2 linked regions of the Mus musculus genome follow. The protein of the gene in region 1 interacts with the protein of each later gene in a biochemical or structural test. Links are inferred from orthologs where the notes say so. Each region holds a gene or a part of one and is shown in the gene's direction. Other genes may lie near its edges.

What was found.
Region 2: the proteins of Eif4e (region 1) and Ipo8 form a complex in vitro, tested with the Homo sapiens proteins (2 studies listed by BioGRID and IntAct, with this or other methods). The link is inferred for Mus musculus from reciprocal best matches to the Homo sapiens genes EIF4E and IPO8.

What each region holds. Positions count from the first base shown.
Region 1 is NC_000069.6:138,525,173-138,528,921, forward strand, and holds the start of Eif4e (eukaryotic translation initiation factor 4E), read left to right. Parts: upstream 1-1,018; 5' UTR 1,019-1,122; intron 1,123-1,248; exon of another isoform or gene 1,249-1,313; intron 1,314-1,747; exon of another isoform or gene 1,748-1,756; coding exon of another isoform or gene 1,757-1,766; intron 1,767-2,095; coding exon of another isoform or gene 2,096-2,124; coding exon 2,125-2,142; intron 2,143-3,192; exon of another isoform or gene 3,193-3,749. UniProt on the Homo sapiens protein: Acts in the cytoplasm to initiate and regulate protein synthesis and is required in the nucleus for export of a subset of mRNAs from the nucleus to the cytoplasm which promotes processes such as RNA capping, processing and splicing.
Region 2 is NC_000072.6:148,772,441-148,776,089, reverse strand, and holds part of Ipo8 (importin-8), read left to right. Parts: intron 1-996; coding exon 997-1,113; coding exon of another isoform or gene 1,114-1,121; intron 1,122-1,926; coding exon of another isoform or gene 1,927-1,941; intron 1,942-3,280; coding exon 3,281-3,300; coding exon of another isoform or gene 3,301-3,601; 3' UTR 3,602-3,649. UniProt on the Homo sapiens protein: Involved in nuclear protein import, either by acting as autonomous nuclear transport receptor or as an adapter-like protein in association with the importin-beta subunit KPNB1.

The sequences.
Region 1 (3,749 bases):
CTTTGGGTGGCCTAGAACTTGCCATGTCACTGAATTTAAAGTCCTGATCCTCCAGCATGCTGGGTTTATGTGGTGTTGGGGGGAATCTAGGCTGGATGAACACTCTATCAACTGAGCTACAACTCAGCACCCTAATGCTGTCTTCTCATAGAAATTAACCAGACATCACTTTACAGACAACAGAAAATAAGGGGTCAATTATAATTACTTTGGTTAGTGTTAACAGATTTGTACATAGAAATTCACCTATGTGTTTAGTTCATAGAGCTATGTCTACTTGAGAATCTACTCACGCCAACTTAAACAGAAGCTTTCGTTTAAAATCACTTCTGCCATCCTGGTAAACAAAAACACGAGCAGGCACTGGCTTTGAGTTCTTACACAGCCTCAATTATGTGTTAGTCAACCCAAGCATCCATTATGTACTCAATAATAGCTATGACACAGCTCTGGACAACAGCAATGCCATGGAGAGGCAGACACGAGATAGCCTGCTTACACTGCTTTTCCTGGCGGTAACATTTTTAAGCTGCGTGGAAGCCATGAGATCCTGGCTCCCTCATTAGGAACTTTACCCAACAGTGCTTTGACGGCCTGGTAACTTAGAAGAAAATGTAGCATGCCAGTTCTGTTTGTTAGTTGTTATGAACATAAGTTCATGAACACGAAGTTTCTGTTGAGAGCAGCTACATTCCCTTTAAAACTGCATCGGTGTACGCAACAAAGTAAAGAAAAGAAAATTTTAAGACACTGTTAAGGCTTGGGGATATAGCTCAGTTGGTAGAGTGCTTGCCTAGCGCTCAGGAAGCCCTGAGTTCCATCCCTATCTCAGCAAAAAAGTGCTCTCCCAACCCACCCCCACGCCCAGCACGCGCCAGTAATCCCGATACTTTGTGGGGGGGAGGTGGAAGCAGGAGGATCGACAGTTCAAGGCCATCCTCCCCTATACCTCAAGTTCAAGGCCATCCTGCGCTTCAAAAGACCCAGGGTCAAGAAGCAAGATTGCTAAAACAGCAGCGGAGGCGGAGGGAGCTGGTCCTTAAGGAAGGCACGCGCTTGCTTCTAGATTCCGAAGCGTTTTCAAAGCTGGTTACAGTCCTTACCACAGCACACCCTTGTGAGGTAAGTGTATTATCATCTTTGGTTCATAAATGAAAAAGTTGAGGCACTGAGCGTATTAAGTCACTCGCCTAAGGAGTATGAGTCAACGTCAAGAGTCATAGTTGACCCGGTTTAACGACTCCTGACCTTCAGTCCAGGGCTGAGTCAGCGGAGCCCCGAGTGGCTTCCCTGGCTGGCACCTGGACGTAGGCTATTTCCGTCCACGTCCAAGCAGAATACTGGAACCGATTGGACAGAACTTCCAAACTTTCACGTCCAGCAAGATTCACCCCTGACGCCTTCATCTCAGGACTGGGAACAGGAAAAGCCGACGCGTGCACTCCCCTTCCCCAAACGAGTGAGAGGGTACCGTGGGGCAAGCCCGCCCACCCGCTTGGGCAGCGATGGTAGCAAGGGACCACCCGCGTTAGTGGACCGGGGACTGGGGAGACGCAGACCACATCAACGACTCTCCATCGCCGCCTCTTTCAGAAACCAAGAGAAAATGGTGGGAGGCGAAAAGAAAAACTAAATAAAAAGCAACTTGTCTTAGGACCTCAGCTAAGCAAATGAAGCCTTCTTGCGTGTGCTGAGCCTGCAGTTCTCAACCTTCTAGGAAAGATGGGAGGACTGGGCGACAGAAGGCACAGCAGGAATGCCCCGCAGTGAGTGCAACCGGAGCTCTGCCCGCTGCCCAGCAGAGGCCTAAATCCAACTCGGCAGGAAGCGCCCGCGGCGCCGGGAGCCACGCACCCTCGCCAGCGACCACGTGATCACTTTTTTTTTTTTTGGAAGAAAAAAAAAAACTTCTTGCCTTAAGAAAAAAAAAAAAAAAAAAAAAAAAAAAGACTCCACTTCCCAGAAGCCTCTCCTTCCCCAAGCAGCTGCAGTCTTGCGCAGGCGCCGCTAGGGCCAAACGGACACGTCCGTCACGTGGGCAGGAGCCGGCCAATCCGGTTTGAATCTCATTTTTTTCCTCTCGCCCCCCCTTCAGGAGCGGTTGTGCGATCAGATCGATCTAAGATGGCGACTGTGGAACCGGTGAGTATTGCCTTCGGCCCCCACCCCCGAGCTCCCCGCGCTCCGGCTTCCTCCGCTCAGGGACTCCCGCAGGACGGCGTTACCGGCGCGCACGGCGCCTCCCGCCGCGTCCGGTCCCTGCCCGCCCCCGGCCTGACCTTCGGCGGGCAGCCTCGGCGCCGGGAGGCTGGCGGCGGCAGCGTGGAGCGCACACGCCGTGTGGGGGCCCGGGCACCGGGGCGGTGGGGGGAGGGGCGCCGCGCGGGGCCGCGATGCGGCGGGCGGAGGGCGGCTCGGGACACGGGCGCGGGGATCGGCGTGGGGTCCCGGGGTCTCGGGGGGGCGTGGGGCGGGCGGCTCCTAGCGGGCACCGTGGCTGGTGGGCGGCGAGCCGGCCCGAGAGAGCCGGAGAGGGAGCCCGAGGCAGCGGCGCCTCGCCGTCGCCGGCGACCCGCCGCCGGGGGTCCTCGTGCGGGCCGCGCTCTGGAGCTGCGGAGGAGGGTGGGCTGGCGGAGCCCACCGGTGGGCGCGCGGGAGCTGGGCGGGCGCGTCCCGCGGGGAGCCGGGGGCCGTGGCGTTGAGTAGGGGAGCATGCTCAGGGGTCGTGTCGCGCACCTCCCGGCGCCGGGGACAGGGGCCGGCTGAGGTGGGGATCACATTGTCCTGGCCCCTCCACGCCGGGACGGGGCTGTCATGGAGGAGGGAAGGGGGAGGAGCGAGGCCTACAGATCGCCGCCGCGGGTCGGCTGGCCGGAGACCTGCATTTCACACGCGCCGGGCTTTCCATTCATTCATCCTCGGGGCGCAGCGCGCACGCCTCCGAGGACCGGGTAGATTCTTCCGCTCTTAAGCCACCACCAGATCGTCTGGGAGATAGCCAACGAACACTTAATTTTAGAAATAGGAACTTTCAAGATTACCTTTTCTTAAATTAAAAGAAAAAACATTTTTTTTTAAAGCATGGTGGGGGCAGTGGCGCGAGCCGCGACTTGCGAGTGGAGGTCAGAGGACAGCTTTTAGAGTCCCGAGGATCGAGATTCAGGCGCTTTTCTCGAACCATCACTTAAGCTCATCAGCATTTGCTTTTCCATTTGATGTTTCCTTCTTAACTTTATACTGCTTCCCTCTTAATGAAAGCGCTATTTTGAAATTAATTGAAGCAAGATGCACATAGAGCATCACGGCGTAACTCCGGTAGCCCGAAGGTGGTGATTTTTTTTTTTTTTTTTTCTTCTGTCATGGTTTGGGTTTGCCAGCAGCTGGCTCACTGGCCATCCATCGCAGGTTTTTTTTTTTTTTTTTAAGGAATGTCACACATGTGTGAAAGTCTCAGGCGCATAAAGGCATAGACTAGCAACCAGAAACCTCTGTAGAACACCTTTGCCAGATGTTTTAAAACTCACCGATAGACTGAATATGAATAATTTGATATGTTTGCAAAATGGCCTTATCTTGGCAAAATTCAAGACAACTTTTTGGGAGTGGAGACATGATTTACTTGTTCTTTATTGACATCAGTTTTCCTGGCATTTTGCAAAACTGCATCATAAGTTGTTGGTGAAATTAACTTTAGAATATCAATGTAAGAGCAAGAGGGGAAGCATTTAAATGTAACCTAGACTCTTGAC
Region 2 (3,649 bases), on another chromosome or scaffold:
ATGTCCGTCTGTAGGTATGGCATGCATCCGACCTCCTCAACAGCTTTTGGGTCTCAAATGTAACCTAAGTATGCACAACAGTTTAGAAGCTCCTCTGTAGACAGAAGGCCATCTTTAGACAAGCTTGGACAGACCACCGGGAAAAAAAAGCCTCTGAGAAGTCCCTAGGAAGGAGGGCAGGACTGAGAGTGGCTGCCTTGGATCTAGGCCCTTTGTCCAGTGCAGAGTGGAGTGATTTTCTAAAAGCTGTTAACATGATACGGTGGTTTACTTCTGGGATTATTAGGTGCAAAGTGCATAATCTTGAGGAACACAGGCAATGTGAGGTTGTTAGATCAGAATTACAGTATGGAACTGGATAGGGGAGGTATGTAGGCAGAGGCTTTAAGAGACTGGCAGAGCACTGGATGTGGGCTGGGCATGGTTACAGATGTGAAAGGTCTGTAGTGGTTTCCTGAGAGGCCAATAGAGCTAGTGAGAGAAATGGGGAATTGTGAGCATTTAGAAGGAAAACGTTAAACTTTGCTCTATAGTTGTGCTAAATTTGAAGTATTTATCTGGAAAAGTCTGGGAAGAGAAGGGAAGGATTTTGTGCAAGGGTGCAGACTTGGGTCCTCAGTGCAGAAACAGAGCTGGTGTGGAAGACAGTATGCAGAGTCCAAGGAGGATGGTAACAAGGAAGCCCTGATGTTTCCCTGTGTCAGATTTTTAGGGAATAGTTGGGAAAACTTCCAGAAGAAGATAGAAAAAGAATAGAATAGAATATTCTAGAATTGGGGAAACCACTGATTTGTGAAAGTGACTTTCCTTGGGGCTCCTCATAGTTGGGTATCAAGTAGGCCCTCGGAAATGACTGTTGGGATCAGACTCATGATCCTGCCTCTTACTGTCTGACATAATCTCATGTGATTTGGTCATGCTGCTTACCTTTCCTGAGATAATAATGGTCATTGGCTCTCTTACCTTTTCTCCTCCAACCCCCCTGTAATGCTGTAGCTGTGCAGAATCGGGATGCTGCCTGGTACCAGCTGCTGGTGGCACCACTCAGTGAGGATCAGAAAAGAAAGCTGCAGGAGGTGTACACGTTGGCAGAGCACCGAAGGACACTGGCAGGTCAGCCAGTCCTTTCCATATTGGAGTTGTGTGTCCGAGGGCCACCATCTGGCTTACGTGATTAAAATGGCTTCATGAAATGAGCCCTTCATGATAATGAAGAGTTCCACTGTCATATAGCTGGGCTTGTTTTGTGTTTAAGACAGGGTTTTGCCATGTAGCTAGGCTGGCCTGAACTCATAATCCTCTTAATTTATTTTTATCTGTATGCGCTAGAGTTACTACTTTGCTATTCCTGGGCTGAACGGTTGTTCTTCCTCTCTACTTGAGATGCTGGGGTTTGAACTCAGCGTTGTATATGCTGAACAAATAATCTACTAGTGAGCTGGTGAGCTACAATCCTAGTCCTTCTCCTCTTTCTCCTCTTCTTCTTCCTCTTCCATCCCCTCCTATCCCTCCTTCTCGTCTTCCTCCTCCTACCCCCTCTTTGTCTCTGGAGACAGGTTTTCACTTTGTAGCTGGCCTGGAACTCACTGTGTACCCTAAGCTAACTTCAAACTCAACTATCCTTCTGCTTCAACCCTCCTGAGGGCTCAGATTACAGGTGTGTGCCACGATGCCTACCTGTTTTCCTTTTAAGAGATGTTGCAAAGTTGGCTAGTCTAGCCTCAAACGTAGCATAAACTGTGGACCTGTGATCCCTCCTGCTTCACCCTCCCGAGTAGCTGGGATTATCGGATGTCCCTGTGCCACTAGGCCTAGTTTGATGCTTTGTTGTTTGTTTGTTTTAAATCACAGTAGCTCTGTCAATACCATTTCACAGGTAAGGGTTAGTGTGTTCCCCATTCACATCCTCCTGATGTTTTGGAGAAGAAAGGGTTGGGACAGGTCTTGTTGAGAACCTAACATCTCAACCACACATGAACTAAAAGCATTCAGTAGATCTTACAAGGAGCTTGTATTCCTGAAAATGAAAGGCCACATTAATCAGTTTACTATCAATGTATGTACCTAAGGAAATCAACTTATGAGGAGGAAGATTTTATTTTGGCTCTTGGTTTCAGCCCCTGGCCACTTGGTCCCCTTGCCTTTGGGTCTCTGGTGAGGTAGCACCTTATGGGAGGAGTGTGAAGTAGAGGAAAGTAACTCGGTTCAAGAGACCTAGGAAGCAGAATGGAGATGGGGTTGGGGTCCTAGAATCTCCTTCAAAAGCACACCCCATGAGGCCAGAGAAAGGAGCTCAACAATCAAGAGTTATTGCTATTCTTGCAGAGAATCTGGGTTAGGTTACCAGCACCCACATCAGATGGCTTACAACTACCTGTAGCTCCAGTTTCCTTTTTTGATGCCCTTTTCTGGCTTCTTGGGCACCTGCACACATGTGGCATAAGCCCCTCTCACACAGGTGCATAAACGTGTATATGTGCGCGCACACACACACAAAGGATAAAAATAAATCTTTAAAAAAGCACACCCAATAACCTCACTTCCTCCAGTGGCACCTCACCTCTTAAAGGTTCTACCTCCCAGTAGTTCCATAGGCTTGGAACCATGTGTTCAGCATGTGGACTTCAGGGGACATTTCTGACCTAAACCAGAGCAAATTCTCATTTGTATTTGTTTGGGATTCATGTGTTGGTGACTGTTAATTTTCAGTTTTTAAGAAGGAGAAATTGTTTAATGTTAGGATTTCGGGCTTACCCTTGGGTTGTTAATGGGAAAGATTTTGTGCTTACAAAGTATTTCAATGGGAGACCTGGGGAGTTTTGGGTGAGGACGGTTCTGGATCAGGGCGTGGGGGAGAGGAGTGATGCATCTTTTGTTAGCAACTGTGAGGAGTGTAGCCTGTAGCTGTTGGCTTGCAGCTATAGAACTGTTTACACTTCTCTTATGCTAGCAAATGGGCTTTAGTTAGGTGGCAAACTAATACCAGGAATCAAGCTCTTCTCAAGTTTTAAATACATAAAAAGAGGCAGGCCTGGGAGGGGAGGATGGTGTCTGTAATCCTAGCACTTGGTTGTGTGGAGGCAGGACAATCAGGAATCAAGGCCATCCTCAGTTGGATAGCAAGTTAGAGGTCAGTCTGAGCTACATGAGGCCCTGCCTGGAACAAAACAAAGCAGCCTACTATCATAAAAGGCTGGTTCTTTAAAGTTACTTTCAGTACTTTCACCTGAAGCAATCTTTCATGTCTTCCCTCCTCACTTTTTTTTTTTCCCCCTAATAGCAGGGCAGTTTCACATTTGAGGACAAGAGCATCTTCTCCACGTTTAATTTTGGAGTCGTGCCCAGCAACAACTGGAAGGCGCATCCACCGTTCACCGATCGGCGTCACCGCTGCTGCTTAGTACATGGGTTGAGGGCCAAGAAGGCAATAAGAGGCTGTGTCATTGGCATCAGGCGGCCACGGGCCTGCTCTCCCTTCCTTGACCCTTCTTACCCTGGAGTATATATATTTTTAACAGCTACTGTAACGTACGAAATTTTGAAAAAAGCAGAGTCATTGATTGGAAAGGACAAAGCGTCTGCTCTTAAGGCTGAACGCTGAGGGGTTAGAGTTGTGTATCGGCGCATGTCTCAGGTTTTTGCCATGAAG